3 linked regions of the Saccharomyces cerevisiae S288C genome follow. Changing the gene in region 1 together with any one later gene gives a genetic interaction. Each region holds a gene or a part of one and is shown in the gene's direction. Other genes may lie near its edges.

Region 1 (10,556 bases):
TGCTTTTGATGGATCGTCAGGGATCCACAGGAATATCAAGATACCAATGAAGATTGTTATCACACCAGTAATGACAAATAAGGTTCTCCAGCCTTTAATAGCATAAGAATCCTGGTGAATGTAAACACCGTACGCAATTGCGTTGATCAGGATGGAGCCAAGACCGTTCATACCAAACCAAATTGATACTCTTGTGAATTGTTCCTCTGTCTTCCAGTATTGAGCAGTGATAATGGTAAAGCAAGGTGTGACAACACTTTCTGCGCAACCTAAAAGTACTCTCAAAACAATGAAAGAAGGATACTTAACTGTTGGAGCTGCATGTAAAGCTAATAACATTCCCCATATGACAATAAAAACCGCAAGCATTTTTGACATGTGACTGGTCCTTTGGAAAATGAACTGTACCGGGCCTAGGTTCATAAATAGATAGCCGAAATAAAAGGCGGAAGTAACCCATGAATACTGGTCACCATGCATTTTCAAGTCAGTTCTTAATCCCATGACCGCCGCTGAACTAGTGGAAATCTTGTCCATAAATTGAACAGCATACAATATACACATCAAAGGAAACATACAATAGTCGATCTTCCAACGAAGTTTTCTATCTTCTTCTGGTGTCACTTCGATTTCTTTGGCTTCTTCAGCCAACTTCATGGCCTCATCAACCTTGTCACTGATGTAGACAATTTTACCGTTGGGTGATAGTACCGTGCTTAGAACTGGCTCCGCGGTTACGTCTTCATTCTTGATTTCAGCTTCTGAAGTGATGTTTAAATTTTTTTCGTCTAGGGAAGCATTCGAATTTGTACTAGCATCCGCTGACATCTTGAATTTTTTTTTTTACACTATTTGATTATCCTTGTTTTGTTGTTTTCTTCAATGTTGTTATGTTAAACCTTTCCCTCATGATCTCCTAATTTGATGTTTCCTTGGTCCATTTATATACATATATTACTTCATCCAATCTGTATATTCGGAAAACCAGATAATGATAAGTATTAGCCGTATCTTCGGAGTTACACTACCACTTAATTGTGTGAGTGATTGGTGATAACGTTCTCTGACATCTTGGCCAAATCTTTTGCCCCGATAATCCACATGATCATAAGGTCGATTGTTATTCGTTTGCTGAATTCCGCACTTCACTCAGACTAACGCGAGGGACTCTTATCGAAAAGGAACAAAGCGTGCGGCAGGAGCGCGCTGTAGCACCTTATCAGCAAATGATAGCTCCTCGAGCATTTGTCAAGTGACTGATGAGAACGCTTCTCTGATATGCATAGATGTTGCGGAAACAATCAGATACTGGGAAAGGACACTCCAGAGTCAGTCATAGGCTGTAAACCTGATTAAGGTGCAATAAGAAAGAAAAATCCGCCGGGATCCACCATGGATATTGTGCTGATGTAAAAGTATTCCTAGATTGTCTTGTTATCAATGTCAAATTCGGTGTTCATTCTGGGTAGTTATTTTGCTGAAGTCAAATTAAGTATTCTGTTTTACTCGGGATGCATTACATCTGCTTTGCGTCATAAAATAAGCATTCAAGCACCACTTTTTGATGTTTTAATGTATTTGCTCATCTCGGCTATATGGTAGAAAGCTTGAAAGTTAAACAGATGTTCATTTTTTCATCCTTACGAATGACCTCTCGTTTATCTAATCTGCTATTACGGTGTACAATAGAAACACACATGTCAAGATATAAACTAACATCCTTATCATAAGAAGAAACTCTGAGCCATCACAATTAGCGGGTAGATTTCTTTTTCCATTAATGTGAGCCAGCACTCTTTATCTTTCGTTATCCTCACTGAAGATATGGTCATCTGTAACGCCCGGATGAAAGAAAGAGAATCGCACTTTCTGTTTGCAATAACATCTTGAAAGTAGTGTTGATGTGAAAGATTGCAAGTATTTCATACCTCAAGTCTTTCTTGCTCCACTTTTTCATGCCAAAATGGGATTTCGTAGATGTTTGTTTATCCACGTCGAATCGTGGCTGTTATTTACTACGTATAGCCTTCCTAGCTTGTAAATAGTTTGAAAATTCCTGACAGAACACTCTTTCTTGCTTTTGCCTATTCTTATGAGCAGCTCTCAGGTACGGACCAGAACGCATAACGATACTTGGTGCTATATTCTCTGAAATATATGATATCTCACACTTAGGGTGCTACACATTTGTCTGAAAACCAACGACGATAAAAGCTATTTAACGTCCATACCAATTTAGCACTATGGGGAAGTGGATGTCTTTTTTTAATCATTTTCATAAATTTTAGGATTTTTTTTTATGAAGTAAACGAATCAAAATTTTTTGTTGATATTCTTTTATTTTTGCGCGAATACAATTACATAAAACTCATCAATTGTTCTCTATTACCTACCCTATTTTTCCCTATCACACGGCCAACGCCGTATACTAACCGTAGTGTGCCATAAAAAGGAATGAACGGGTAAGAACAGGTCATCCCAAACTCGGCGTATTTAATCAGTTCTTCGTGTAATAACACTTTAGGTGAGGGTGATGCTGACAGCGGATGTCAACGGCGAGGCTTGAAAGGATGACAATAAGTTTCTGACTTCGCTAAAGATGTAAATATAGCTTGAGTTATTGACAATAATGGATTAGACAAGAAGATTACATACGTCTCTGATGTTTTACGCAGCGCTGTCATACTCACACGCTTCGGCTCTACTCCTTCAAGTAAAAATCTTTTGTGTATACGTATCTTAAGCTTGGAGTAGAAGCTGTCTCTGGCCTTTTGTACTCGTTTACACGATTACAACTGATCAACAGATCTGGTTTTTTTTTTCAGCTGTTACAGATGGATTTGTAAGCCGAAAGGTATTTTCGTCATCCCCTTATATAAGATGGGAAACGAAGGTAAAAGATTAACGATAGCATCGCATATATAGGATTCCTAATTACTTTTTCGAAGTGCAAGTGGAGTATCGAACATGTCTCTGTCTGTTTACTTCGACTTTTATAGTGGCGAGATAATAAGACTATTTTATTAGCAAGGGATAACTACACATTTATTGAGGCTCCTCTTTATCCTTAAAACGGAACAAGGTTAGCATGTCTTTCAATCTTAAGTTTAAGAGGCCGCCGGACATCTTCATATCAACCCTTTTCCTGCCAGGAGGCAGGCACAATCATTTGTTGTGCATGTAGGGCTAGATTTTTGAAAATTTGGCATTTCGAGCATATGGGCCCCAGAATAAGCTTCAGGCTAGTTTTTTTTTTTTAGCTTCTATTATGTATGCCCGTCAAGATCATTAGTATCGCATGATTTGGTTGATTAACCACAGAATGTTGAGAAATTCTCACAATGGAAGACATATCGGCCTACGGTAAGATTACACTGAGGACCTTATGTAGTCTGATTGCTTCTGTTTACGCAGAGCCCCGCATATTTTGATAGTTTGATATGAAACCTTTACAAATCATTGAGAGTGCGCCGTACTCGTCGAATCGCGGGGAATGTCTTCTATTAACGTGTCCTCTACGGGCCGTCATTCCAAACGGGCAGCTGTAGGCGACTAATGAACCACCTCTGAATGCAAAGGATGTAAACTGTTGGCACAATAATGGGGCTGACGTAGCGTGAAGAAAATATAACTGATATGTTAAAGGAAATACAAAAGATTTCATGACCGCTAACACAACAATACTAAGTTATGAGGGTAGAGATTTTTCGTTACTGTTGCTATAAGAACCCGAATCAAGACCGTTTATCATATATGAACTATTATGATTGGCAAGGCTTTTTCTTAATTCAAGTCACACGTCGAGGTCTCCCTTGGAATTCGTATAAATCACACTAAAAGTTCTGTGGATTCTATTAAATGAAAGCAACGGTTCCGCTTTGGATGCATAGAACCTTCGTGAGTAATTATTTTCCAATTGGAGGAATGGATGTTATCATCAAACGATAACATTCATAGCCAAGAAGTATTTGGGTTTTCTTTTTGTCACATGTAGACTTTGATACTTCTCTGTGCAAGCTATGACAGGTTACAAAGCGCATTGAGTGGCGGGCTGCAAAAAAATGAGGAGATATTTCAATTAACAAGATCTAGTTTCCTAATACGGACCTTTTTCGGAGCGCTAGGATCAAAATTGGATAGCACAAACAGCTTCTCTCTCTCTACGAGCTAAGATCCTCTGAATGGTGCTTGCACATTCTCGTTTGCAGCATATTTACTCCTTTTCGAGTGTGCTAAACCCCAAGTGACCCAGTGTCTACTGACTGGGAAAAAGTGATCTTTCTGTTTGGTAGCGCGTATAGCACGTAGAGTAAAGTTATGTGAATGTCTATTGAACGACGACATCAAATTAACTTTTTTTGCAGTTCTGTCACTTAATCACAGATAATAAGAGCAGAACAATTTAGGCACGGGGAAATTCGATCGATCTGCCCATCCGTAGGCGTTTTCTCCGGAGAAGTTTTTACATGCTGCGCATTTCTTTGGCGGTGAAAAAGACAGTACATCGCGTGCCTTTAAAGATGTCAAAAATTATACGAGATCTGTTTAAGATCTCCATCGTTCAGGAACTGTAAAACAAGAAGCATTGGCAAAGATAGTGATTTTGCTCCAATATATTCGTTTATACAACAGCTGTTTGGTTCGAAAGCCTATAAATGGCCTGTGTAAATGGCTGTATTGAGAGTATGCTCAAACTGAAATAAGTACCAGTTCCTGTCGAATCTGCGATATCCGAAAAACTCCGAAGAAAGCAATGGTTAATATAAGCATCGTAGCAGGAATTGTAGCCTTAGCTACTAGTGCGGCTGCTATTACAGCGACCACTACTTTATCTCCTTACGATGAAAGAGTCAACCTTATTGAATTGGCTGTTTATGTTTCTGACATCAGAGCCCACATATTTCAGTACTACTCTTTCCGGAATCACCATAAGACTGAAACATATCCTTCGGAAATCGCAGCAGCCGTTTTTGACTACGGTGATTTCACTACTCGATTGACCGGTATTTCGGGTGATGAAGTAACTAGAATGATCACTGGTGTTCCGTGGTACTCTACCAGATTAAAGCCGGCTATCTCTTCAGCGCTTTCAAAGGATGGTATTTACACGGCTATCCCAACCTCTACTTCTACAACGACTACAAAATCTAGTACTTCGACTACTCCTACCACCACTATCACTTCTACTACTTCTACCACATCGACTACTCCTACAACCTCTACTACTTCTACCACTCCTACAACTTCTACCACATCGACTACTCCTACAACCTCTACTACTTCTACCACTCCTACAACTTCTACCACATCGACTACTCCTACAACCTCTACTACTTCTACCACTCCTACAACTTCTACCACATCGACTACTCCTACAACCTCTACTACTTCTACCACTCCTACAACTTCTACAACTTCTACCACTCCTACAACTTCTACCACTCCTACAACTTCTACAACCTCCACCACTTCTCAAACTTCCACCAAATCGACTACTCCTACTACTTCAAGCACATCGACTACTCCTACAACTTCTACCACTCCTACAACTTCTACAACCTCTACCGCTCCTACAACTTCTACAACTTCTACAACCTCTACCACTTCTACCATTTCTACCGCTCCCACGACCTCTACAACTTCAAGCACTTTCAGTACTTCTAGTGCCTCTGCATCCTCTGTCATTTCTACCACTGCTACAACCTCTACCACTTTTGCCAGTCTTACTACACCTGCCACATCTACGGCTTCTACTGACCATACAACCTCTAGTGTCTCAACAACTAACGCATTCACTACTTCTGCAACTACTACTACTACGAGCGATACATATATCAGTTCAAGTAGTCCCAGCCAAGTCACTTCATCCGCTGAGCCTACTACTGTCAGTGAAGTCACCTCTTCTGTTGAACCTACCAGGTCTAGTCAAGTCACTTCATCCGCTGAACCTACTACTGTCAGTGAATTCACCTCTTCTGTTGAACCTACCAGGTCTAGTCAAGTCACTTCATCCGCTGAACCTACTACTGTCAGTGAATTCACCTCTTCTGTTGAACCTACCAGGTCTAGTCAAGTCACTTCATCCGCTGAACCTACTACTGTCAGTGAATTCACCTCTTCTGTTGAACCTACCAGGTCTAGTCAAGTCACTTCATCCGCTGAACCTACTACTGTCAGTGAATTCACCTCTTCTGTTGAACCTACCAGGTCTAGTCAAGTCACTTCATCCGCTGAACCTACTACTGTCAGTGAATTCACCTCTTCTGTTGAACCTATCAGGTCTAGTCAAGTCACTTCATCCGCTGAACCTACTACTGTAAGTGAAGTCACCTCTTCTGTTGAACCTATCAGGTCTAGTCAAGTGACCACGACAGAACCTGTTTCTTCCTTCGGGTCTACTTTCAGTGAAATCACCTCTTCTGCTGAACCTCTCTCTTTCAGTAAAGCAACCACTTCCGCAGAATCTATCTCCTCTAATCAAATCACCATTTCCAGTGAACTAATAGTTTCTAGTGTAATTACTTCCTCTTCTGAGATTCCTTCTTCCATTGAAGTACTTACTTCAAGCGGGATCAGTTCATCAGTTGAACCCACTTCTTTGGTTGGACCTTCTTCTGATGAATCCATTTCTTCTACTGAAAGTCTATCTGCCACATCCACTTTCACTTCAGCCGTTGTTTCCTCGAGCAAGGCTGCTGATTTCTTTACCAGATCCACTGTTTCTGCTAAATCTGATGTCTCTGGTAACTCCTCTACCCAATCTACTACCTTTTTTGCTACGCCTTCCACTCCACTTGCTGTTTCTTCAACTGTGGTCACTAGCTCTACCGATTCAGTTTCTCCTAATATTCCCTTCAGTGAAATCAGTTCCTCTCCAGAGTCGTCTACTGCAATTACGTCTACATCCACTAGCTTCATTGCTGAGCGGACTTCTTCCTTATATCTTTCGTCATCAAATATGTCAAGTTTCACTTTAAGTACTTTCACTGTTTCCCAATCGATCGTCTCTTCATTTTCTATGGAACCTACATCGTCAGTCGCATCTTTTGCATCAAGTTCCCCTCTCTTAGTATCCTCAAGAAGTAATTGCAGTGATGCCAGAAGTTCCAACACCATCAGTAGCGGTCTGTTCAGCACGATAGAAAATGTTCGTAATGCAACCTCAACATTTACAAACCTATCAACAGATGAAATTGTCATCACGAGCTGTAAGAGTAGTTGTACTAATGAAGATAGTGTTTTGACGAAAACTCAAGTTTCTACCGTTGAAACTACTATAACTAGTTGTTCGGGTGGTATTTGTACCACGCTGATGTCTCCGGTTACTACTATTAATGCTAAGGCGAACACATTAACAACTACAGAAACTTCCACGGTCGAAACAACTATAACAACATGCCCTGGTGGTGTTTGCTCGACCCTGACTGTTCCAGTTACTACAATCACCAGCGAAGCCACTACCACCGCTACCATTAGTTGCGAAGATAATGAAGAAGATATCACTTCTACTGAAACCGAGTTGCTAACTTTGGAAACTACTATAACTAGTTGTTCGGGTGGTATTTGTACCACGCTGATGTCTCCGGTTACTACTATTAATGCTAAGGCGAACACATTAACAACTACAGAAACTTCCACGGTCGAAACAACTATAACAACATGCTCTGGTGGTGTTTGCTCGACCCTGACTGTTCCAGTTACTACAATCACCAGCGAAGCAACTACCACCGCTACCATTAGTTGCGAAGATAATGAAGAAGATGTCGCCTCTACTAAAACCGAGTTGCTAACTATGGAAACTACTATTACTAGTTGTTCGGGTGGTATTTGCACCACGCTGATGTCTCCGGTTAGTAGTTTCAACTCCAAAGCCACTACATCGAACAATGCAGAGTCGACCATCCCCAAAGCGATTAAAGTCAGTTGCTCTGCGGGTGCCTGTACCACCCTGACTACTGTCGATGCAGGGATTAGCATGTTTACCAGAACCGGATTGTCTATCACTCAAACTACTGTGACCAACTGCTCAGGTGGAACCTGTACCATGTTAACTGCACCAATCGCGACCGCTACCAGCAAAGTCATCTCACCAATTCCAAAAGCCTCCTCGGCTACTTCCATTGCTCATTCATCTGCTTCTTATACTGTCAGTATCAATACCAACGGTGCCTATAATTTCGATAAAGATAACATTTTTGGTACCGCTATCGTTGCTGTTGTCGCTTTATTACTGCTATAGTGATACAATATAATCTTCACAAGCATATAAACAATTGTAAAATAATTTAAATTGACTTGAAAGAAATTTTAAATCTATACTTGATTCATGTAGCACATAATACTACGGTTTGTGAACATACTCCTATACACTTTGAATGGTTTGTATGATATACAGGTATCTAAACATTAGTGTTACCAGTTCGTATATTAACACTAGTTAAATTTGAATCCTCTAAGGTATCGCCAACAAGTAAAATTTTACATTTAATTGAGAAGTTTTTTAATTTTTCTAAGAAAACATTAAAAATATCACAATATGGGCTTCAGCCTAAAATTATGGTTTTTTTTTTCCCTCATCCTTCATTTTATTACCTCCGTTTATTGACGTGTTCGACAACTCACATATGAAGCTTTAAATACTTTGTTCACTGTTAGTTTAAATAAAATTTAGCCTTTAGGTTAAAAATCGTGTCAAAAAAGGAATTCTTCCAAGAACATGAACTAAAGCTCTTCTTAAAATAAAGTTATGTAAGATAGAACTACGCGGCACAAAGATGGAATTGAGAAATAACGCTCCATAAAGTTGACGCTGCTAAATTCTAGGTCACAAGGCATTAGAAATGAGGGCCTTTGAAAAAATTTATTCAAGTAAACTGCTTTCTGAAGAGTTCGCTCTCATCGACATTGGTAGAAGAATAGTGTAGTGTAGTAGCAACCGTTAGTAGTTTATTAATGTCTAAAATTCAGTATAACTAAGAATAGAAGCAAGTATTCTTATACGGTATAGCAGAAACGTATAACTGATGCGGCGATGACGAATGTATTCAAAATGATGGTATTTCAGTGATTTGCTATATTTCCAATGTAATAACTCGCATCCCTACGTATATTAAATTTGAATTAACATTGAATTAATAGATCTTTAACGTAACTTCTTCCGCTAGTTTCGCAGTAGTATCTTGTTTCCTAGCCTGGAGCTATGAAGTATACTGTTTGGTCACTTTATTCAGTTACTATGGTTACTAAAATTATAAACCACCCGTTCCGACAACGACAATGAAGATCTATTTTGCAAATTTGGAACAGAAATAACCATAACCATGAGGTTCGTTATCGTTGACTACATATTACAATCCGAAATGAACATTCGGCCTAGAATGCATTGTACCTTTACAATACTTTGTAAAACATCTTTCAATGTGTATTTTCCTAGCTTAGGTAACACAACTAGGTAACTTATTGGGATGGTTGAGTCTTAAGTGCAGGCCATTTATTATCAATACTGAATCTTGTATGTTTTTGTCAACTCTTGACAGAAAGCTTCAGTCAGCGAAGCAAACTTTCGACCTTCTGTATCATATTTTTCTGCTCTATTTATAGCGAAAGAGAGAAGCCTACAAGAGGATAAGTACTAATCTTGTGATTATTGATTTTCTCCAAAGATTGGGAAAATTACTTAGTTGCACAGCGGAAATGTTTCGATCTCTGACTTTGTAATCGTCAAAATATTCTAGCAGAGCGCAACTTATTTAATTCATACTGTGCGTTCTCCTTGTGGTTTCTAAGACAATCTTTGAGCATGTTTATGGATGCACTTAGGGGTCCTACAAGCCTTCGTATGAAGTTGCCCCTCGCAAGCACACTATAAATTCATGAACAATTGCGCAGTCAAAGTTAGATTGTAAGCCGAATTCAAACGATTTCAACAGTCGTAGCTAACGAGGCCTTTTGTCTCACACCCTTACAAAGGGACTGTAGAATGCAAGGGCAAACAGGCCTGAGGTAACTTTAAAATATAATGTACCTTGAAAACTATGTATACATTGCATTTATTAAGCAGTAGGGTATTTTGTTTGCAAGAAAATAAAGCTCAAAATATCTTTGGAGTTTGACAATAGTATAGAAAAAATAGCTCAGCAACCTTAATAAAAAAAGGGTCATTGGGCAAAGCGTTTTAAAAAGATTTAAGTGGTAGTGTTTAAAGTGAAAGAGATTGATATAGTTAAAAATTGTTGAGCTCAATTCACGCTGGATTCGGCGATCCGTTTTCTTCAATCCTCACGTGCTTTCTTCGTTTGAGTGCAAAAGTTCATATGATGCTATCTCCCGCTTATCTTATTAGTCGAAAATGGGGAGAATTTCCTATTTTATCTGTCGTTTAGCACATATGGCCAGGAAAATACATAAGGTTTCGCCGAACGACGGGGTCAATTCGTCCTTTTTGTACACATCGTTTAATTTATGAGGAAAAATTGATGAATGTATCCTCCGTAGACGCTCCTCTGAAAAGTTTCATGTTTCCTGCGCGTTCCTTTGATAGGCAATAAAACAATACA
Region 2 (10,556 bases), on another chromosome or scaffold:
TGCGACATGCAAGAAGTTCGCGGATGGTCATGCGTATTTAAGAATAGTCAAGTAACAATTTGCTTATTCGTTGACGACATGATTTTATTTAGCAAAGACTTAAATGCAAATAAGAAAATCATAACAACACTCAAGAAACAATACGATACAAAGATAATAAATCTGGGTGAAGGTGATAACGAAATTCAGTACGACATACTTGGATTAGAGATCAAATATCAAAGAAGCAAGTACATGAAATTAGGTATGGAAAAATCCTTGACAGAAAAATTACCCAAACTAAACGTACCTTTGAACCCAAAAGGAAAGAAACTTAGAGCTCCAGGTCAACCAGGTCATTATATAGACCAGGATGAACTAGAAATAGATGAAGATGAATACAAAGAGAAAGTGCATGAAATGCAAAAGTTGATTGGTCTAGCTTCATATGTTGGATATAAATTTAGATTTGACTTACTATACTACATCAACACACTTGCTCAACATATACTATTCCCCTCTAGGCAAGTTTTAGACATGACATATGAGTTAATACAATTCATGTGGGACACTAGAGATAAACAATTAATATGGCACAAAAACAAACCTACCAAGCCAGATAATAAACTAGTCGCAATAAGCGATGCTTCATATGGTAACCAACCATATTACAAGTCACAAATTGGTAACATTTTCCTACTCAACGGAAAAGTGATTGGAGGAAAGTCGACAAAGGCTTCGTTAACATGCACTTCAACTACAGAAGCAGAAATACACGCAGTCAGTGAAGCTATACCGCTATTGAATAACCTCAGTCACCTTGTGCAAGAACTTAACAAGAAACCAATTATTAAAGGCTTACTTACTGATAGTAGATCAACGATCAGTATAATTAAGTCTACAAATGAAGAGAAATTTAGAAACAGATTTTTTGGCACGAAGGCAATGAGACTTAGAGATGAAGTATCAGGTAATAATTTATACGTATACTACATCGAGACCAATAAGAACATTGCTGATGTGATGACAAAACCTCTTCCGATAAAAACATTTAAACTATTAACTAACAAATGGATTCATTAGATCTATTACATTATGGGTGGTATGTTGGAATAAAAATCAACTATCATCTACTAACTAGTATTTACGTTACTAGTATATTATCATATACGGTGTTAGAAGATGACGCAAATGATGAGAAATAGTCATCTAAATTAGTGGAAGCTGAAACGCAAGGATTGATAATGTAATAGGATCAATGAATATTAACATATAAAATGATGATAATAATATTTATAGAATTGTGTAGAATTGCAGATTCCCTTTCATGGATTCCTAAATCCTTGAGGAGAACTTCTAGTACATTCTACATACCTAATATTATTGCCTTATTAAAAATGGAATCCCAACAATTATCTCAAAATTCACCCACTTTTCAAAAACACACGCCGATTGGTCATATTAATCATGACCAATATAATAGTGATTCCGGTAGTTACTATACATTGATGTGACGACTCATATTCCTCATATATGTACCTACCATATCATGTTCAACTAATAGGTCTTTAACACAGCTTCAGTATGGTCTGAGCTTCTCGTTTAACATTCCTTCTGCAATAGGCACAATCACACTTAAACGTATACGAGGTGTACATTAATATACGATGTAAGCATTAGATTGTTACCATAGCAACTCATGTCACTATTAATTACTCTCGTTCCAACAGAATCAACGTAAGATATTGGTGAATTTTGAGATAATTGTTTGGATTCCATTTTTGATAAAGGCTATAATATTATATATACAGAATATACTAGAAGTTCTCCTCCAACTCTAAAATGTCATCTGTTAAATAGTATTAGTGTTACTAGTATACTATTACATGCGGTGAAAGAAGATGGCATAAAGATTGAGAAATAATCGTAATATTATTTGTTGAACTACCGATTCCATTTTGGGGATTTCTATATCCTGGAGGAGAATTTCTAGTATATTCTGTATACCTAATATTACAGCCTTTGAAAAGAATGGAAACCCTACCATTATCACAAAATTCGTAGAATTCACAGTAGAAACCTTAGTGAATCAAACAAGATAGAGCACGTTGGGTCAAATTCTTGCTTGGATAAATAACCCACATGAATAAATACCCAGACAATTATTTTAGATCCGGTAATCTGCGCTTCTATCATATAGTATATCTTAGATTTTACGTGATATGTTGGATAAGTAGCATTCTGTAGGTCAAGCTGAGAATGACGTCTTGAAGAGAAGTAGCTTTTCTAACGGTAAAACAGATTTGGCGACAAACTTTGCTATTACCAAAGCCTGTAATGCAACAAAATCAAAGTAAGCAATCATTCAGGTCGCAAAGAACGGCTGTTTAACTATGGATATTATCCTTTGGGCTCTGCACTATTCCATCTAGCCTTTCAAGAATCGTAAAACGATGTGCTAGTGGTGAAAAAACACAAGTACAACAAATTAGGGTGCTAATGGGGTTTGTATCTTCGAAAACCTTGCTCTATTATTCTCAGAATGTGTGAATGTTTTAGAAATTCGACAATCATTGAAAAATTATTCAAGTTATATTTATTGTAACTGATATGAAAAAAAAATTGATAATGAGATCCCACCTTGGTTTATGATTTACTCATCGGTTTCCTAAACACATTCATTACAATGTACAAGTTCAGAAACGCAATATATAATGTGCAGGTGCCAATCTAATCATGTTAGACTTTCTCGCATCGTCAATGACATCATAAAAATGCAAATAGGGTAGCACTCCGCATAATATCCTCTTGAGCATTGCTAATAACTGCCTCGAATATTTCAATGCCACGGTATCTACGGCACTTGAATTAGACTGCCAAATCCGAGGGTAACTGTGATAGCTTCAAAAGACTTTTAGCATTTGAAACCGCTCAGTGGTATCATTACTCCATCAACCACCAATGCAGTCACATGTTTATGAGAACAGTATCAAGCACCTTAATTCCGAGGCTGTAATAAATGGGACATTTTGGACAGAATGTCTCATTATCCCCGAACCGAAGCCTTTGAAATTGATCTGCAAATGAGGTAATTCAGCTGGATGGTTTTTCATAATATATTGAACATCTGGGAAGAATTTCACGTCACCTCTCGGTTTATCTCAGTAGTATTTAGAGTATTCTTCAAGTTCTGATGGGAATTTTCTCGCCATGCCTGAATTTCAGTTAATACGTGTTTAAGCTCCGAAATCCATGTATCAAAATTCACTGCAAAAAGGTTGTAATTTGATGGAGGAGATCAAGCTAGGTAACATATTCATTCGAGATGTCCACCTGCACCGAGTAGTCCTCTTTAAATCTTGGAAGAAAACACGTCAGCGATGCCAAGATGAGTGGGCTTCAAACCAAAACCAAAATTTCAACGTATAGGCCATTGTGCTCGATGATGAAGGGACTGCAAAAATATCGGTGGTTTAAGATAAGCAATTGTAAGATATAGAAGAAAAGCTGACGAAAAAAGAACTCATACCTTACTCCAAAATGGACACTGACATATTCTCCCATTCGGTGGATTTGAAATCCTCAGTGGATAGATAGGCAGAGTTGAGCCAATTTGCCTAGGGAGTTGATTACCGTTAATCCTGCTTGAAAGCAGCATATTAAACCTTCCCCGAAGTTTGCCATAGGACCGTATGACGCATCCTGGACTTCATCCCATCACTGTGCTGGGACTTGAAAATAAATGTTTCGCCCGTGGTAAAAAGTGTGTGGGAATAAGGTAGCCCTCTACTTCTTAGCATACTCAAAAAGAGATGCTAATAGTCAATCTACGGCCTGATTCAGGACTGCCTCACGGAAAATTACATCGCTTCGGGATTCGTGATCATCTGGCTAGAGTTTCTTGATATGTATCTCTGAGCGATATGGCTATTTACTAAGCAGTTGCCACCTTTGAGAGTAGTTGCCAACATGGACAGCAAATTTGCAGAAATAGGAAAGGACGCCACGGTACTCCCTAACCGACTACAAACTCATCTTTTCCGGAATGAAATGGTATTACCACCGAAGACGTCATTGCTGATCACATAAACAAGATTCAAGAGCGTGGTTACGTCTCAGAACCGACGATCCTCGTGAGGCTTGCTTGGCGCAGGGCTTCAATTCCATTATTTTGCGGAATCTTCTACGAAGCCCTTCCAGCATAGAGAAATGAGACAAAACCTCACAGGATTTACGAAGACCACTGCATGTAGGGCTGATATTGTGAAGGACACTTCCTAAAGGTTAGAACTAGTAGCATAAAACGAATAGATACAAGATTATCCTATTATAAATACGTGTTCGCACCGTAGTATCCATATAACGGCATTTTGCAACCATTCACATAAGATAGACTGTTCCGCTTCATCGCATAGTCGGCCACACTGCATATGTGTATTTTGAGCGCTAGGCGTCAGTGTACTACGCCCTACAATAAGTTGTAGTCACAGAAGCGCGCGCGCGGGCACATGAGTGCATGATGACAGGCTCCTTCACTGGCATAACAATAGCGCACAGATCCGCAGGTTTCGTAATACGCTTAACAATAGGCGTCTCCTGCTGGTTGCCTTATTAATTTATATGGAAGACGAGATAATTCATTAATTAGTCTACTCGACTAGATGAAATAGCTTTTTCTGGTAGTTGCACAGAAAGAAGGAAGACAATAGATAAAAGAATGTGGACGAATATTTTGCATTCGCTATCATAATAGAATTCATTTCTTCTCTTTTTTCTTCTCTTTTTTCTTTCCATTTTTTATATATGAGAGCTGTAATTTCAATGTTGCCAAGAGCGTGTACCATGTTATTTTCCACTGTAGAACTTGTATCATCATCTATTGCTCTCATATCTGATATACTATCAAGCAAAAAAAACTCTAGCATTACACCATTATGAGTTTCGGTACGAGAATCTCCAGGGCTTTGAGATTTTTGGAAATTCCTGTTAAAAATAGGGCCTCCGTGAATTTTTTAAGGAACCCTGATTTGCAACCTATCAAGTCTGTTAATCAAACGTGGGGGTTTTGGTCTAATTTTGCGTATTGGGGTGTTCTGTCCTTCAACGTTGGTATGTGGATAGGCGGTTCGTCTGCATTAACTGTTGGGTTAAGTTACTCAGAGACCATCGGTGCGTTTATTATTGCTGATTTGTTGACCATCCTGTTTGCTTTAGCCAACTCTTGTCCTGGCTATGACTGGAAGGTCGGCTTCACTCTAGCTCAAAGATTCGTCTTTGGGATTTACGGTTCAGCTCTTGGTATCATTATCAGAATATTGATGAGTATTGTCTATTATGGTTCCAACGCTTGGTTAGGTGGGCTTTGTGTAAACATGATATTAGATTCTTGGTCTCACCACTATTTGCATCTGCCCAATACTTTGTCCTCGAAAGTTGCCATGACCACCAAGGAATTGATCGGCTTCATTATCTTCCATATCCTTACCGCGTTCTGTTACTTTATGAAGCCATACCATATGAACTATATTTTAATTTGGTCGTGTGTTGGTACTTTCTTCGCCATGTTGGGTATGGTAATTTACTTAACTAAGAGCGCACATGGTGTTGGTGACTTGTTCACTTCTACTCATTCCACAGTTACTGGCTCTAAAAAGGCTTGGGCTTGGGTTTATACGATCTCGTACTGGTACGGTTCTGTTTCTCCAGGCTGTACCAATCAAAGTGACTTCTCCAGATTTGGTTCCTCTAATTGCGCTATCTGGACTGGTACTATAGTTGCTTTACTAATACCAGCAACCTTGATCCCAGTATTCGGTATCATTGGTGCTTCTGCTTGTGAAAAATTATACGGTCAAACATTTTGGATGCCTATGGACATCTTTGACAACTGGTTGACAACTAACTATTCTGCAGGCGCGCGTGCAGCTACATTCTTCTGTGGTTTTTGTTTTGTAATGTCTCAAATTTCATATACCATCTCCAACTGTGGGTTTGCCAGTGGTATGGATTTGGCTGGTTTATTACCGAAATATGTTGATATTAAGAGAGGTGCTATTTTTGCCGCATGCGTCTCCTGGGCCTGTTTGCCATGGAACTTTTACAACTCTTCTTCTACTTTCTTGACTGTTATGAGCTCTTTCGGTGTCGTAATGACACCTATTATCACTGTCATGATCTGTGATAATTTCCTCATCAGGAAGAGACAATACTCCGTTACCAATGCCTTTGTTCTAAAGGGTGAATACTATTTTACCAAGGGTGTCAACTGGAGAGCTATCGTTGCCTGGGTGTGTGGTATGGCTCCCGGTCTACCTGGTATCGCTTGGGAAGTCAATAATGACTATTTCCACAACACTGGTATTATAAATTTTTTCTATGGTGATTCTTTCTTCTCCTTTTTGATTTCCTTTTTCGTCTATTGGGGACTATGCCTCCTCTTCCCATTCAAAATTACTGTCAAACATGATGACAAAGATTACTACGGTGCGTTTACCGACGAAGAAGCAAGGAAGAAGGGCATGGTTCCATACAGTGAAATTTCTGAAGAAGAAATCCGTGCTTACACATTAGGCGAATGCTTCACAAGTGGACACGAATACAAACCTGAGAGCTCCGATGATGAACTACCTGAGTTGACAAAAACTAGTTCAGAAAACACAAAAGTGTTTGAAATTGTTCATCAGAAAGATAATGAAAAGGAATCCTCTACTTCCAGTGAAAAACAAATTGCCTAATGAGCAAAAAACCTAATAAAATGATCATACTTAGTGTTCATTCAAGATCTTTCGCTAGTATTAAAATTCGAGATAATTAAACACACTCTTTAGTCCCAGGAAACACTACTATTAAGCTTGTTGGTCGTACAGGATATAGAGGTCATTTCGATTATTTCATTCTTCCACTAATGTTTGATTGACGATTCAGATCACTGTTTTTGTTTGGCTGATAATTGTAACAAGAAAAAAAAACTACCGCTTCTTTTCAGTATTTCTGTTGAGGATGATATTTTCATTGATTCTCTTATCAGCTTCAGTGCCGATATCCTATCAGGCTCTAGTAGGGCTGAAAATTAGGTGGAGGCGATTTTGTTACTCTTTTGTTCAAGTCTGAGCTTATGACGTCCTGCGACATACTTTTCTTATTACGTACTTATGATAAGTACCGGTTGCCTATGAGAGGAAATCGAAAGTCATTAAATCAAAAAAAAAAAAATAACTTGCATTGCATTGTGCGATTAAAGAGCAAAACTTATTTGATAAGAAACCTTTTCTAGAGCATCTGCGCCACTTATTTGAGAGGTCAAGTCTTGTTAGTGAGAAAGCGCGTGAAGATAGAAATTATAAATTACCAATTTATTTTCAGTATAGCCTTAGAAAACACAAAGGCACATGGTTGTATAGATCTATATAATGCACTGACTGTACCTTGTTGTAAGGAAGTTAATAATAAGCAACCTGTTCGGGCTGAAAATCCAAAAGAAAAGTTGACGGTCTATTAGTGGAACAATGAATTTGAACTTTACATATAAGGGAATGTGTCTTTACTTTGATCTTACAGCGAAAATTACTGAAATCACAGTTTACGTATAAAGCACCCCCAATCCACGTGTGTTTTATACGCTTCTCTTTTATAGGAATATAAGATCAGCTTTGATTATTAATTAATACTGTCATTTAATTGCCAGTTATCATCAAACGGGATATTTTCATCGGTTCATTAATGTATGGTAGCTGTTGCGAGCGTATAATTATACTGGCGTTTGAAGATTACATATATGATGAGAAACAAAAATCAAATTTAGTAACAACTGTTAACGATGCAATAATGAGTTAAAGCAATTAACAGGAGGGGGAAGCAATTATGTTATTCGTGGCATTGTTGATAATCTTTTGTGGATTTCCAAATCCAGGAGACGAGCTTCTTATATTGTATGTTACTAATGGTATTTTCTTTTTCAAAAAGTAATTCAAACGATCATATCAAATTTCGCATATTTCTTATACTTAAAGTAGGGCCGATTTACGGCTTATTTTCTGTTCCATTAAATGCCAAGCTCGTAAGTGCCAACGAGTGAAGTTACTTAAGCCTACAAACTAGAAGCTTAGCCACCAATTATCAACATATACATATGTGTATCGCAATAATGCTTCAAAATTCACCAAGTTCTTCAAAGAGCGTTTAAACCAAATAAAAATCCTAACTCCCGACGCCCTAAACTATTCACTTCCTTTATCTTGCCTGGGTCCATGGCAGAATCGACCATTTCCTTCTTTCTCTTCTGTAATTCAGAAATACGATCCTCAACAGAGTCCTTTATAAACAATTTATGCACCTGGACTTTTTTTGTTTGACTAATTCTATAGCAACGGTCTTGAGCTTGTTCTTCGACGTAAGGATTCCAAAATGGATCAACTATAACTACATGGTTCGCACATGTCAATGTTAGTCCTGAGTTACCGGCTTTCATGGAAATCAGAAGTATCCTTTTCTCAGGGTCACGATAAAATTCGTTGATAACATCTGATCTTCTCTGAGCGTTCATTGATCCAATATATTTCAAGTAGGGAAAATTCAGTTTATTTTTGAGAAAATGTTCGAGAATCTCAAAAAATGTTGTAAACTGGGAAAAAATAATAATTTTTTCGGTTGCTGATTCATCAAAAACTCTTTGAATAACCTGTATACATTGCTCTATCTTCGTAGATGGTTCTAAACTCTCAAAATTTGGCACATATACATTTTTTTGCTGTATTTTTTGTTTCTCCATTTCACTTAAATACTCTGCATGCAAATCTTCCTCAGTAAATCCCTGGTTTATTACCTGGTCGTATAACTTGTGCGAAACAATATCTTTCTCGTTTGTCAAACGTTGACAATCTTTGCATGGGATAGCAAATGCCCCACCTTTGGTTTTCTTGGCCTGAGGTAGCATGGATGACTCTTCGATGAAGGGCTCGATACAAGTGTCGCAAATCAAATGACCACAACCTGTCAGAACGGACATCGCTTCTGGTTCTAATTGTTCCATGCACCAGAAACATGTCATAGAATTCATTGAAGTAATAACCTGAGCCTGCGCTTCTCCGCTCATGTGAGTGATTTTATAGTAGAGCCTGAGCCAGTCATCTTCAAAGCTTTTGCCGTTAGCTACCTTTGTACCTTCCGCTTTTTTTTCTCCCATCACAACTAATTCTGAATGACAACAAGCCTGCCTTAAGCGAAGTAGTAATGTGAGAACGCTAGAGTAGCTCCCCCTCGTAGAATTGTTCAACAATTTCTTAGCGAGTGCTTGATTTTTTGATTCCAAAGCTGTGTAAAATTTTAATTCCTCTCCCTTCAGGCGTGATTCATCTACTTCCACAATTTTAGGAGGGAGCTCCAGTAAAGGTTTGCCGTCGATCTTATCAGCCTTAGACCGACGAAGCATAATGGCATTTAGAAGGACTCTAACCTTTCTTAATGCGTTTTTTCTATCCTCGTTATCATATTGATATTGCTTATTTCTCTGAAAAAACCTTCCAATGTCTAATTTAAACCGTTGCTCCTTGTGGTAGGGTGGAATTCTTAGAAATCTTATCAAGGAATAAAGCTCATCCATACTATTTTGAATCGGCGTACCAGACAAGACCCACCTATACATTCCATTTATAGTACAGCACGCTTTAGAAGCCCTTGTATTTTTGTTCTTGATGTTTTGGCCTTCGTCCAGTAAAATTCTGTAAAACGTTGAATCATTGCAGAAAAATGGAGAGTAGTATTCATTTGAGGTTTTCAACCTATTAAGAGCTTGTATATGAGGCACAGCTGGTAGCTGATTTTGTTCACCATCCAGTTTTTTCGGCCAATGTTTCTTAAATTCGTTTGCTAGAGTTTGATAAGATACCAAAACAGCATCATATCTTGCCAAATCCCTCCAGTGCTTAACTTTTCCGTTACCTGATCCTCCAAAAATAAATGTAGTAAATTTTGCGCGTTTTTTTACTTTCGTTTCTAATTCACCTTTCCAAACTCTCAAGACTGAGACTGGTGCGACGATCAAATTGGTTTTACATTTGGATTCCTCTGAGCGATTTGCTAACATCAATGCAATAGCTTGAATCGTTTTACCCAGGCCCATATCGTCAGCAAGCAGACCCCCTTTTTTTGCGGAGTTTTCAACTTGTAACAACCAATGCAGACCCAGCCTCTGGTGTTTTAATAAGTTTACGGTCATATCCTCGGGAGTAAGTGCTTCGCCGTCTATAATGGATTCAGATTGTTTGACATTCTCTAAAAGAGCCCTAATCTGTTCTTGATCTTCTGCTGCATGCATATTAGAGATGTGAAATTCATCTTGCATCGATAGATCATTGGCTGTAGAACTAGTATCTTCGGTATTTTCCACGATGTTCCAGTTTGAAGGAGGTCGTTGATCTGCGTTTACCGGAAATAAATAGCTTTGCTGCAGTAATTCTTCACTTGTTATTGGAATCTTATATCTTCTCAAATTTTCATATAGTCTGTCCATCTTAAGTCCTTGTTGTCTTAGCCCAACAACAGCTTTTCCGACGCCTTCCCTTTTTAAAGGAGTAGGTGGA
Region 3 (10,495 bases), on another chromosome or scaffold:
GAGTCTCAACTATCTACACAAATACCTAGTTCTTTTATTACAACCAATTTAGAGGATGACGACAACCTGAGTGAAGAGGTTTCTGAAGTTGTCAGTGACATTGAAGAGGACCGAAAGAATTCTGAAGGAAAGACTATCGGTAACGAAATCTATAATACAGATGATGACGGTGATGGCGATACTAGCGAGGATTATAGCGAAACTGCGGAATCAAGAGTTCCCACGAGCAGCACCACCTCATTTCCCGGGTCATCCCAGAGGAGTATATCGGGGTGCACAAAAGTTTTACAAAAGTTTAGATATTCATCTTCATTCAGCGGAGTTAATGCAAATAGACAACCACTATTTCCTCGGCACGTTAATCAAAAAAGTAGAGGAATGGTATACGTCAATCAAAATAGAGATGATGATTGCGACGATAACGATGGTAAAAATCAAATCACGCAAAGGCCATCACTGCGAAAAAGCCTTATTGGTGCCAGGTCACAGAGAATTGTGATTGACATGAAAAGCGTAGATGAACGAAAATCATTCAATTCATCACCAATTTTGCATGAGGAAAGTAAGAAAAGGGACATCGAAACTACTAAGTCAAGCCAAGCTCGGCCGGCAGTCAGATCTATCTCCTTGCTTTCCCAATTTGTTTATAAAGGTAAATAAAAGTTAAGTACTGCACGTTTCATATCGGAGGTATATTTTTCAAATGAAAATCTCGTCGAAATGCCTCAAGACAAGAATTAAAAAATCAATGCCCAGTAAAGTAGGACAGGGTACGGTTGGAGTAAGAAGCCTTCTACTTTGGGAAAAAGCCATTGTACTAGACCAAGAAAAGATTAAAAGTAGATGTGTCAAATTAAGCCACAAGTATGTTTGCCCCGCTATGAACAATGCACGCCGCATGTGAGGACAACTTTATATGTTTTGCGAGCGCGCTGGGCATGTGCAATTCACATTTTTTTTTTCCTTTTTTTTAACCCACTCTATTTATCTAATCAAGCCGCTAGCGGTCTACATTCGCTATCAACTGAACGAATAGTGATGCAATCTGAACCTTAAACTTTTCGCTCGCTTTTACTTTCCAGAAAAAATTTTCTTCATTGGGATTCCTCTGCTGACAAACGGGCTCACAGAACTGAGGAAACGAGAATTTTGTTAATCAAAGCAACATTACGGGAAGGAACGGAACCGTCTCGTTGCTGTGGGCGCGAGTTCGACGCAAGAAAAAAATGCTGCAGCATCGTCTTTTGTGAACGCCAAGAAGGAGTCCGGCGAAGGTATTGGGCGTCACAACCTTTTATTCTCCGCAGTGTCTCTTGCCTACAAAGCCTGCAGAAGCTTTTATGCCGGGGTGTACGTATGTTAATCAGTTACCCTTTCCTACTGTGTGCCGCACCCCTCATTTGCTCTCGATACGAGAAGTTCCGCGCCGATTCTGGCCTTTTTGTTTTCTGGCTAGCCTACTTTCAGGGGACGTGCCTTCTTATGCCGCTGTAAATTACAGCAGAGATTTAGATCTGAGTGAAAACGTGGCGAGGAAAAAGGGTACACCGTTAAAAGCGTAGACACAATCCCACTTTGTTGTGCCTAGTCTTCTCTGCTGTATTTTAATTTTCTGTTTGAACTTTTTTCCGTTCTTTTCCATCATTGTTTAATTTTTACTTTGAGTGGGCTTCTCAAAAGAAAAAAATAGCTGGTATTGTATTTTTACCGTAGGCGTTTTCTTTGTATTTTTCCCAAGAGCAGCAGCACCTTTTATATACCTTGGTTACACATTGTAAGCCTCAAAAATCGTCCTATGTAAGTGTCTTATCGCATCATACTTAAGGTCAAACCTGTAAAGCGCGCTTCTAGTTTTATTTCTACTACTCGCCTTGGCTCTCGAGATCGCTTAGGTAGTTTAATAGTTAGTCACACCCACCCACCCATTCGCTTAGAATATAGAATATAGAGCAGTTGCAGTACACGACTCATTTTAGCAACGATAAGAGTATAAATTGGAAATGCCAAATTTTCAAAAACCTTTTTCTGGTTCTTCGGATGGCAATTCTGTAATGAACGACCTAGGTAATAAAGTCGCCATCAAGGTTTTTGATTGTAGAAGTGCTCAAGATGGCAGCGAAGAGCAGAATGTAAATGTAACCACGAACCAAATGTATTTAATGTTTCAAAGTAACAATTACAACGTGCCGCCACCAAATTACAATACCGAGGATTTGGGTTCTCAAGGACCTCCGACGCATGCTTATTACGCTCCATTTCAGCATCCCATCCATCTTCAACCTCCCGTGCCTCCTGTATATAAGAACAACACATATTCTGCCACAGACCAGTATAGTGACTCCTCGTTTCCTAATACTTCAGGCCACACTCCAGTAATTGATAGTAATTACTATAATGATGCTCTGGCTTCTATACCTACAACAACGACGGGTAGTACTACAATGACTACAGACAATGGCAATACTATTGACAGCGAAGAATACATTGATAACATGGAAGTCTTTAGTAGCGAGGAAAATGAAAACATTGATAATGTAAAGCAAACCGATCTTAAATCTGAAAAGGACTCGAGTCTTCTTTCAGCAGCTTCAATCGTGAAAAAGGAACAATTGTCTGGCTTTGAAAATTTTTTGCCTTTATCGAAGACAGAGTCTCCCTTAGTTACTGCAGACGAGATTAAATCATCTTTGAATTTGGAGAATATTGACAATGCTGACAGTATGAGCTTCAAGTTAAAAACTTCACCTATACGGAAACATTTTCATGTTAAACCCAAAAGAATAACAAGGGTGAGGACAGGAAGGGTATCACACAATATAATTGAAAAGAAATACCGTTCCAATATTAATGATAAAATTGAACAATTAAGGAGAACTGTCCCAACGCTACGAGTAGCGTATAAAAAATGTAACGATCTTCCCATTACATCTAGAGACCTAGCAGACTTAGATGGCCTAGAGCCAGCAACAAAATTGAATAAGGCGTCCATTTTAACGAAATCTATTGAATATATTTGTCATTTAGAAAGAAAGTGCCTACAGCTAAGCTTGGCTAATCAACATTTATCAAATGACACACGGGATTCTTTCGTCCATCTTACCGAGCCATCTCAACCGTTGAGTGACAACAGTAGTAGTGAACAAGTACAAAAGCAAACCAGAAGCTGCCAACGCCAACGGCAGCGGCAGCCACGACAACAACAACCATTGCATAACATTCAATATAATATTCCACATCAAAACGGCCTCATGAGCGGCACCAACAATTCACATGATATGGATTTTAACAACGCAGGAGACTTTTAATACTTGAACAACAAAATGTTTCAACACGACAGATAAAACGAAGAAGAAATACTATATACAAATCTGTACTTGTGTGTATGCGTAACATTGTAATTTTAATTTTGCATTGAGAAATCTATTTTATTCATCTCTTTTAGTGTTAGTAAACACTCGCAGATGCCTTGAGCTCCGCACCGTAATTTAGTTTAATTTATTTCTCTTAGTGCCGTCTAAATAATAACGATCTAAAAAAAAGATTCCGGGAAAAAGAAACTATACCTTATATTTAGTTCATGCAGTTAAATAAATGTTGTTAATTAAGGGTAAAATATGATGATGTATTTATGATAAGTAAAGAGTAGGGGTCACCTAACATTTTTCACAATTGCATTTACTCTTTTCACAAGTGCACGTGGTTTCGCATTTGCATTTTTCACCACAACTCTTACATTGAGGGCTTCCGGTGCTGTGATCACATTTGCACTTTTCACCGCCAGAACAGCTTGGAAGGCAGGTGCTCCCACAATGACAAGAGTCCTTACAACATTCGCCTTAACAGTCACATATTTTTACAGTCATATTTATTGAGTACTATTTGACATTGTAGTGTTCAGTGTAATATCGCTTCGCTATTCTTAGGGGGGACGATGTGCGCCCTTCTTATATAGGCCCCGCTTGATCACTACTTCACAGCCCTCTCGCATCCCTATCCTTTTTTTGTCCGAAAGACAAAAATCACTTCCACACAGCAATAAAGACGCATTTATTGTTCTTTTTCTTAAAAGTGCTTGCAGTAGGGGGTTTAGCAAAAGAAAAAAATATATGACCGGTTGTTATGCGATCTGACGTAAAGTGGAACTCATTTTGAAGGGTTTCTGCACAGAAGTCAATGCCAGAAGGATTTGGAACACCTACAGGACTGAACGTCGGACTAAAATAATGTTGGTAGAGTATGGTATTACTGTAAATTAATCGTTTATACGTGACGTTGACGATGGGATTTGATTTTCTTGTATATCTGACTTGAAAATAAAAGCAATAAATGACCACAAGAAATAAAGGCAGCTGTACTTCTGCAGTTATGTCTTTTCGTCCACTGGGCCTGCCTTAATCACTATTTTCGTAATTATAAATGTGGTTGGTTCGAAGTTCGGTTTCCATACTTTCGTTGTCACTGATGTCTGTAGCTAGATAATTGGAATCTCTAATATGTTTGTCGGCTCCTGGTCTAACAGTTGAGCCTTCTTTATTCTGTCCAATGCCATTTTTTGGTTCATATGAATTGGTTTTTCGCCTAGGCTTCCTTAATAGCTGTCGATATTTGGATAATGTCGTTTTAGTATTAGGTTTGCCATTCGATTTACTTCCAAAACTGGGATTTTGCCCAAATTTATTCTCACTTTTCATTATCTTATGTCTTCTTCTTCTGTCCCTTATTCTTTCGATTGGAGATTTCCAGGTGGGTGAAGGGGATCCTACTAAACTTGATGAATCGTGGGAAGTAGTGTTACTTTTAGTAGTGTTTAAATCCCTGTTTAACGTTATGGCGCTTAAATGCTTGCCTAAATCTTCTCCGTAATAATTGACTGTTGGATTGGCGAAAAATTTGTCCCTATTGTTAATTTTTCGTCCAAGGACTGTTTTTTTGCTTATGTGCAGCTCCCTCTTTTCCAATACTCCAATTAAGCCCCAAACGTTCACTGTTATTAAAACTTTCAAAAGATGAACAAAGTTAAATGTCCAACCTCTAACATGTTTGGTGAAAGCAGCGAAAAAAATTGTGGTGAAATAGAATAAAATAAATATAAGAATATTATACGCCAATAATGGTATAGTTTCGTGATAATTTTCCCAAAGAATTCTCAATTTCGTTTTACACTTACCGTCCGTATTAATTTCAGCAGTTTTCGGTAAAAGTATGTAAGCAAAATTATGCCATGTGAAGTAACAAATAATGGAGATGAAAATTGTGTAAATCAGTAATTCGATTAGCTTGTAAAATACCTTCAAAACTACAAGGTTCTTTCTCCAAAGAAGGTTTGCGAATAAAATGTTATCGGCTAGTGAGAGGAAGCAACCCACGGTAATTATGATATGTGTCCCCTTTTTCATTTTAAATGGGATCCAATTCCAAGTTGGTTTTCCATAATTGGACTGTAAGTAGTGAACAATATAAATCCAGTTTATATCACTCAAAATATTTGCAACTAATTCACATATTTTATATGGTGCAGTTTCTACGATGAACGATTCAAATTGGCTCGCATCCTGGTAGTCATCGTGATATTGGCTGTCAAATATGACGGCTATAGTCTCGTTTAGAAATACAGTTCTTATAATCGCAGAGAAAAGGACGTAAACATGTACAACTTTATTTCTTCTATTATGATTATCGGATGGCAGTAATAAGACAACCAAAAATAGCATCCATGTTGCCACACAGATACACCCAGAAGCAAAGGTGATCATTATCATTCCTAAGGGAAATGGGTCTTTTCCGATGTATTTACTACTGTCATCTTGAACGTTGAATTTGTTGTTGATGTCATAAACAAAGTCTTGTAAGACATGAGAGAAATTAGGATTTGCACTGCCATTATCGCATCGGATCAAAAAGGATGGGTAATTTAAAGTGTAATTATAAGCACGTAAGTGCCACGAATTACTTGCTAGAGAGATGAAGCCACCTGTCAATACATTTACCGTGCATGAGTTTTCATATTTATTTAGTAGTTTATCATCTATCAAATCAGTCAGATTGTAAGCTGGAATGTTGTCGATGTGTTTTTTATAAGGTGGCCGGTGGTCGTAATGCGGTGGTCTTTCATCACCAAGTTTATGTCCCGGAGGACCAGGTATCAAATCGGGAGGTTGAATTCTCTTTCTTGCTGCTTTTTCATACGCACCTACAAGTCCTAAATGGTAAACTAAAGTGAGGAGGTAGTAAAAATGCAATCTTATGATCATTAATCTTGCACGTAAAGACGTTCCGCAACAAAAAATGCTTGTGAGTGCAATATCAATAAGTATTGTTTTTGAGCCTTCGGAGTTGAGCTGCCATTTGGTGGTACTTGTTTTGAATATGATAGAAGCCTTATCTTTGACACTTCTTCCAGTCAATTTTCTCGCCAAGTTAAAAAAAAAAGTTACAATTTTCTCATCACCCCGAAACAACAAAAGAAAGTATATTGCTCTTTAGCCCTTCCTTGCAGATTTTTCAATCCAACGGGGCTAGTAAATCTGATATCAATCACATCGATTGTGTTATCTTCACATGTTGTTTGATAGAAATCAGACCTTCTTTTTTCTTCTTCTCGGATGTTTATAGTTAGTAAAGCTAAACTGTGTATATATGGCAATCACCGAAGACGAATTATTACAGGACAGAAATAAATGGGTTACACACCAGAAATCAGGGACAAAAGGGCCCAACGGAAATTTTATAGGTTGTTTTGTTTATCTGTGCACATAGGCGACAAAACTAAAGTTATGTATCTAAGAATTACAACGTAGTGTAGGTGAGCGGTACTTGAAACTTTCTTTTTGTAAACACCATAAAAGGATATTAATGACATCGGTTGAAATAATGACATCTAGAAGGAAAATTACAACTAGAAGAAAGCGTGATTATGTTGTAAAGAATCCGGCAAATAGAAAAGCTAAAAGATGATTGCAAGGCTAGTGAAGATATTTCAAAACTTAGTTACTCGTTACCTTAAAAACCTTACATTGTTCTCATGTATTACATGAAATTCTATCTTTTCTTTTTGAATAAGCTCTAAGTATTAATCCTCAAGTATTAATTGCCCACCACCTTCTTAAAACTGTTGTTTTTTAATTACAATTTTCTACGCTAACCCGTTTCTTCCATTTTCTCACTGTTAGTATTCCCATATAACGATCTTCTTAGATTATCTATAAAAGCGTATTTTGAGATTTGTTGCAATGACCTAAAAATGGTTGACAGTCATTCTTCTTGTTGCTGCTTTTAATAAACTAATTCTTTAGAGAAGGATAAGTACTGTGACATATTTACACTTTTTAACTAACTTCTTTGGCCACAACTAGTGAAATGTTCATCTACTGCGCAATTCAATATGCCCGCCGATAGCTAAGCGATAGCTCTTTCAAAAATTTTAAAAAAAAGGTACTATCAAACTGAATTGGAATGATTATGGTTCAAACTTACTCCTGATTCAAATATAGCAAAAAAATCAGGTGTGCAGCTATAGATCTGCCAGATACACGAGTCATTGCGAAAGGCACCATATATTACCTTATTTAGTGCCTTCTTGAAAAACAACTACAAGATCTTAACGTCACTGTATAGTGCCATTCGGTGAGCAAAGACAGGTATTGGTACTAATTGACAGTAAATGACTTATCTAACCCGTTGACGCAATGCTTCGCTTTTGCCATCAAGAATGTTGAACTGTGCAAAATGGTATTTTTTCGGAGAAACATTTCAAAATGGAAAGGTAACAACGTCCGTAGTTTTGTTTTTCCGTTTTATCGTTTACATGATTATCCTGAAAAGTCCCCTGCAGCAGCAATCATAGGGCCCACTCACTGCCATGTCTTCCCACCTCCTAAGAAATGGCTGCCCCACGCCCCTTTGACGACTTACTCCTCAAGGTAAAACTTGGCGTACGGAGAGGGGTCGAGAAAAGGTTCCGAGTGGAAATGTACGCCAATGTTTAGGGCTACGTGGAATGTGATCTCATTCTTACAAAACACGTAGATGATGAAAAGGGCCGCAAAAGTTTCTGTTATTCTTTAAATTGTTCCCAGAAATCCTCGAAGGAATGACCTAAATCTTAAGGCACTTGCTTTTAAAACTATTGTTCGTTAATTTGTTAGTAATGCAACCAAGTGCTCCAGCCCAACCGAAAAAAAGGGAAATTAACTTTACATCGATAAGCTCTGACGCAATGCGGGAGGGGATTTCCCGAGCGGAAATACCACGGCGCTGAAAAAAAAAAAATCGGAACCGGAGTTGCCTCACCGATCCCAATGGTGACATGCAAAGAAAATTTTATTGGCATTAAATCTATGAGGAAGAGGGTAGGAAGGAGTACTAGGCAAAAATCGTAACTAGGAGCAGAAGGCGAGTAAAACCCTTTCAATACTAGGGAGAGAGTGATTTGATAAGGATACCTCCTCACTCGAGAACTAGTTGATGTCTGCATCATTACCAAAGTTCATGTATATAAAAAAGGAACTGGGTGATTTATTTTTTCTCACGCATTCTGCTTACAAATAATTCATTAGATAATTTTACTGATTAACTACGACTTTTTGCAGCCGTTAATCTCATCATAGATATAGAATAACAGCTTGGAACAAGAAGGAAAACCAAAAACCTACTCAAATGTTAATGCAAATAAAAATGGACAATCATCCTTTTAATTTTCAACCTATTTTAGCTTCCCATTCAATGACAAGAGACAGTACAAAGCCAAAAAAAATGACGGATACCGCTTTCGTGCCAAGCCCTCCTGTAGGGTTTATTAAAGAGGAGAACAAGGCTGATTTGCATACAATTTCGGTAGTTGCTTCGAATGTGACTCTACCGCAAATTCAGCTCCCAAAGATTGCAACACTTGAAGAGCCTGGTTATGAGAGCAGAACTGGCTCACTTACAGATCTTTCTGGAAGAAGAAATTCTGTTAATATAGGAGCATTGTGTGAGGATGTTCCAAATACTGCGGGCCCACATATTGCAAGGCCGGTGACAATAAACAATTTGATTCCTCCGTCTTTACCAAGACTGAACACATACCAGCTTAGACCGCAACTATCAGATACTCATTTAAACTGTCACTTCAATTCTAATCCATACACCACTGCATCACACGCACCATTTGAATCTTCCTACACTACTGCATCTACATTTACTAGCCAACCGGCAGCTTCATATTTTCCCTCAAATAGTACCCCAGCTACGAGAAAAAATAGTGCCACGACTAACCTTCCTTCAGAGGAAAGACGTCGAGTTTCCGTTTCTCTTTCAGAGCAGGTTTTTAACGAAGGCGAAAGATATAACAATGATGGCCAGTTGATCGGTAAAACAGGCAAACCTTTAAGAAATACTAAGAGAGCTGCCCAAAATCGAAGCGCACAAAAGGCGTTTAGGCAGCGTCGTGAGAAATACATCAAAAATCTCGAAGAAAAATCAAAACTATTCGATGGCTTGATGAAAGAAAACAGTGAATTGAAAAAAATGATTGAATCATTAAAGTCGAAATTAAAAGAATAAAATAATGAATAATTATTAGTACTAGTAACATCTTAAAAGTTTTCAAAGCACATGGCAAGCACTTCTTCAGGGGGATGCAACCCCCCTTCTCCAAAGAAAATTGATGCCTAAGGTGGCGAAAATATTACGAGATAGGAAACAATTTATGGTTTCTAGTTTCAGGCAGCTTGTATTAGGTAATCAACAAAGCTTAATTTTCACCATTTTTATTTTCTTTCCTTCATCTCCCTTTTTTTATGGCAGGCACATTACTAAAAAGGAAAGAGTCAAGAGTGTAAAAATATACGTAGAAAATACATAGTAAGAAACGAAATTATATCATAGCAATTTGAAAAGTTTATTTCCCTAATTTTTTCAGCTTAGCGAATGTTGTCATGGAGCTTAGATATTCTCGCTTTTTTTTTTTCGCATTCTGATGTAATGAATATTGTTGACGTAAAGTTGTGCCAATTACGTAATTTTTTTTGTTTCTAAGGAGAGTTCCGGCCAGAAATTTCCTAGGGCTGATCCGGAGAACGACAGGAAAGATGGTCCGATGTTTTTTTCCCTCGCCCAAGAAACTTATTATCTTCAAGTTCCGATTTCTCAAATATCAACCATAGCATGAAACAAATTTAGTATACTAAGTGAGAAGATCATTATATGTACGTATGTATGAAAAAGCAGTAAAAAAAGAATTCAAGATAATAAAGTTATATTTCGTATTATTTTTAGCGGCCAGTCCGGATGATACCAGCAGCGATCAACGTCTGAATCTTTTTGAATACTTCTGGATTTTTCATGTGTTCTTGTAAAGCAGCGGGATTCTGTTGGGCCTGCTGCAAAATACTTTGCATAACAGGATCTTGCATGATCGCAGCCACTTCAGGATCTTTCATGGCCCTTTGATAGGTTTCTTCTGGGGTTTCGTTACTGGTACCAGGTTGGAATCTTTGTTGGCTTGCCTTGTAGT

What was found.
Region 2: mutations in DAN4 (region 1) and THI72 together harm fitness more than expected from each alone (negative genetic interaction), as found in Saccharomyces cerevisiae (one large-scale study listed by BioGRID).
Region 3: mutations in DAN4 (region 1) and HMS1 together harm fitness less than expected from each alone (positive genetic interaction), as found in Saccharomyces cerevisiae (one large-scale study listed by BioGRID).

The regions. Positions count from the first base shown.
Region 1 is NC_001142.9:709,938-720,493, reverse strand, and holds DAN4 (Dan4p), read left to right. Parts: upstream 1-4,753; coding exon 4,754-8,239; downstream 8,240-10,556. Other genes in the region: DAL5 (allantoate permease), read right to left, coding at 1-828. UniProt on the Saccharomyces cerevisiae protein: Component of the cell wall.
Region 2 is NC_001147.6:694,925-705,480, reverse strand, and holds THI72 (thiamine transporter), read left to right. Parts: upstream 1-4,913; coding exon 4,914-6,713; downstream 6,714-10,556. Other genes in the region: YOR192C-C (uncharacterized protein), read left to right, coding at 1,257-1,493; translocase ULS1, read right to left, coding at 8,147-10,556. UniProt on the Saccharomyces cerevisiae protein: Low affinity thiamine transporter responsible for intake of thiamine. It is possible that the primary function is the uptake of closely related compounds and that thiamine transport is a secondary activity of these proteins.
Region 3 is NC_001147.6:382,581-393,075, reverse strand, and holds HMS1 (Hms1p), read left to right. Parts: upstream 1-2,000; coding exon 2,001-3,305; downstream 3,306-10,495. Other genes in the region: Rad2 family nuclease EXO1, read left to right, coding at 1-660; YOR032W-A (uncharacterized protein), read right to left, coding at 700-900; DFG16 (Dfg16p), read right to left, coding at 4,392-6,251; YOR029W (uncharacterized protein), read right to left, coding at 8,141-8,476; CIN5 (Cin5p), read left to right, coding at 8,656-9,543; Hsp90 cochaperone STI1, read right to left, coding at 10,254-10,495. UniProt on the Saccharomyces cerevisiae protein: Involved in exit from mitosis and pseudohyphal differentiation.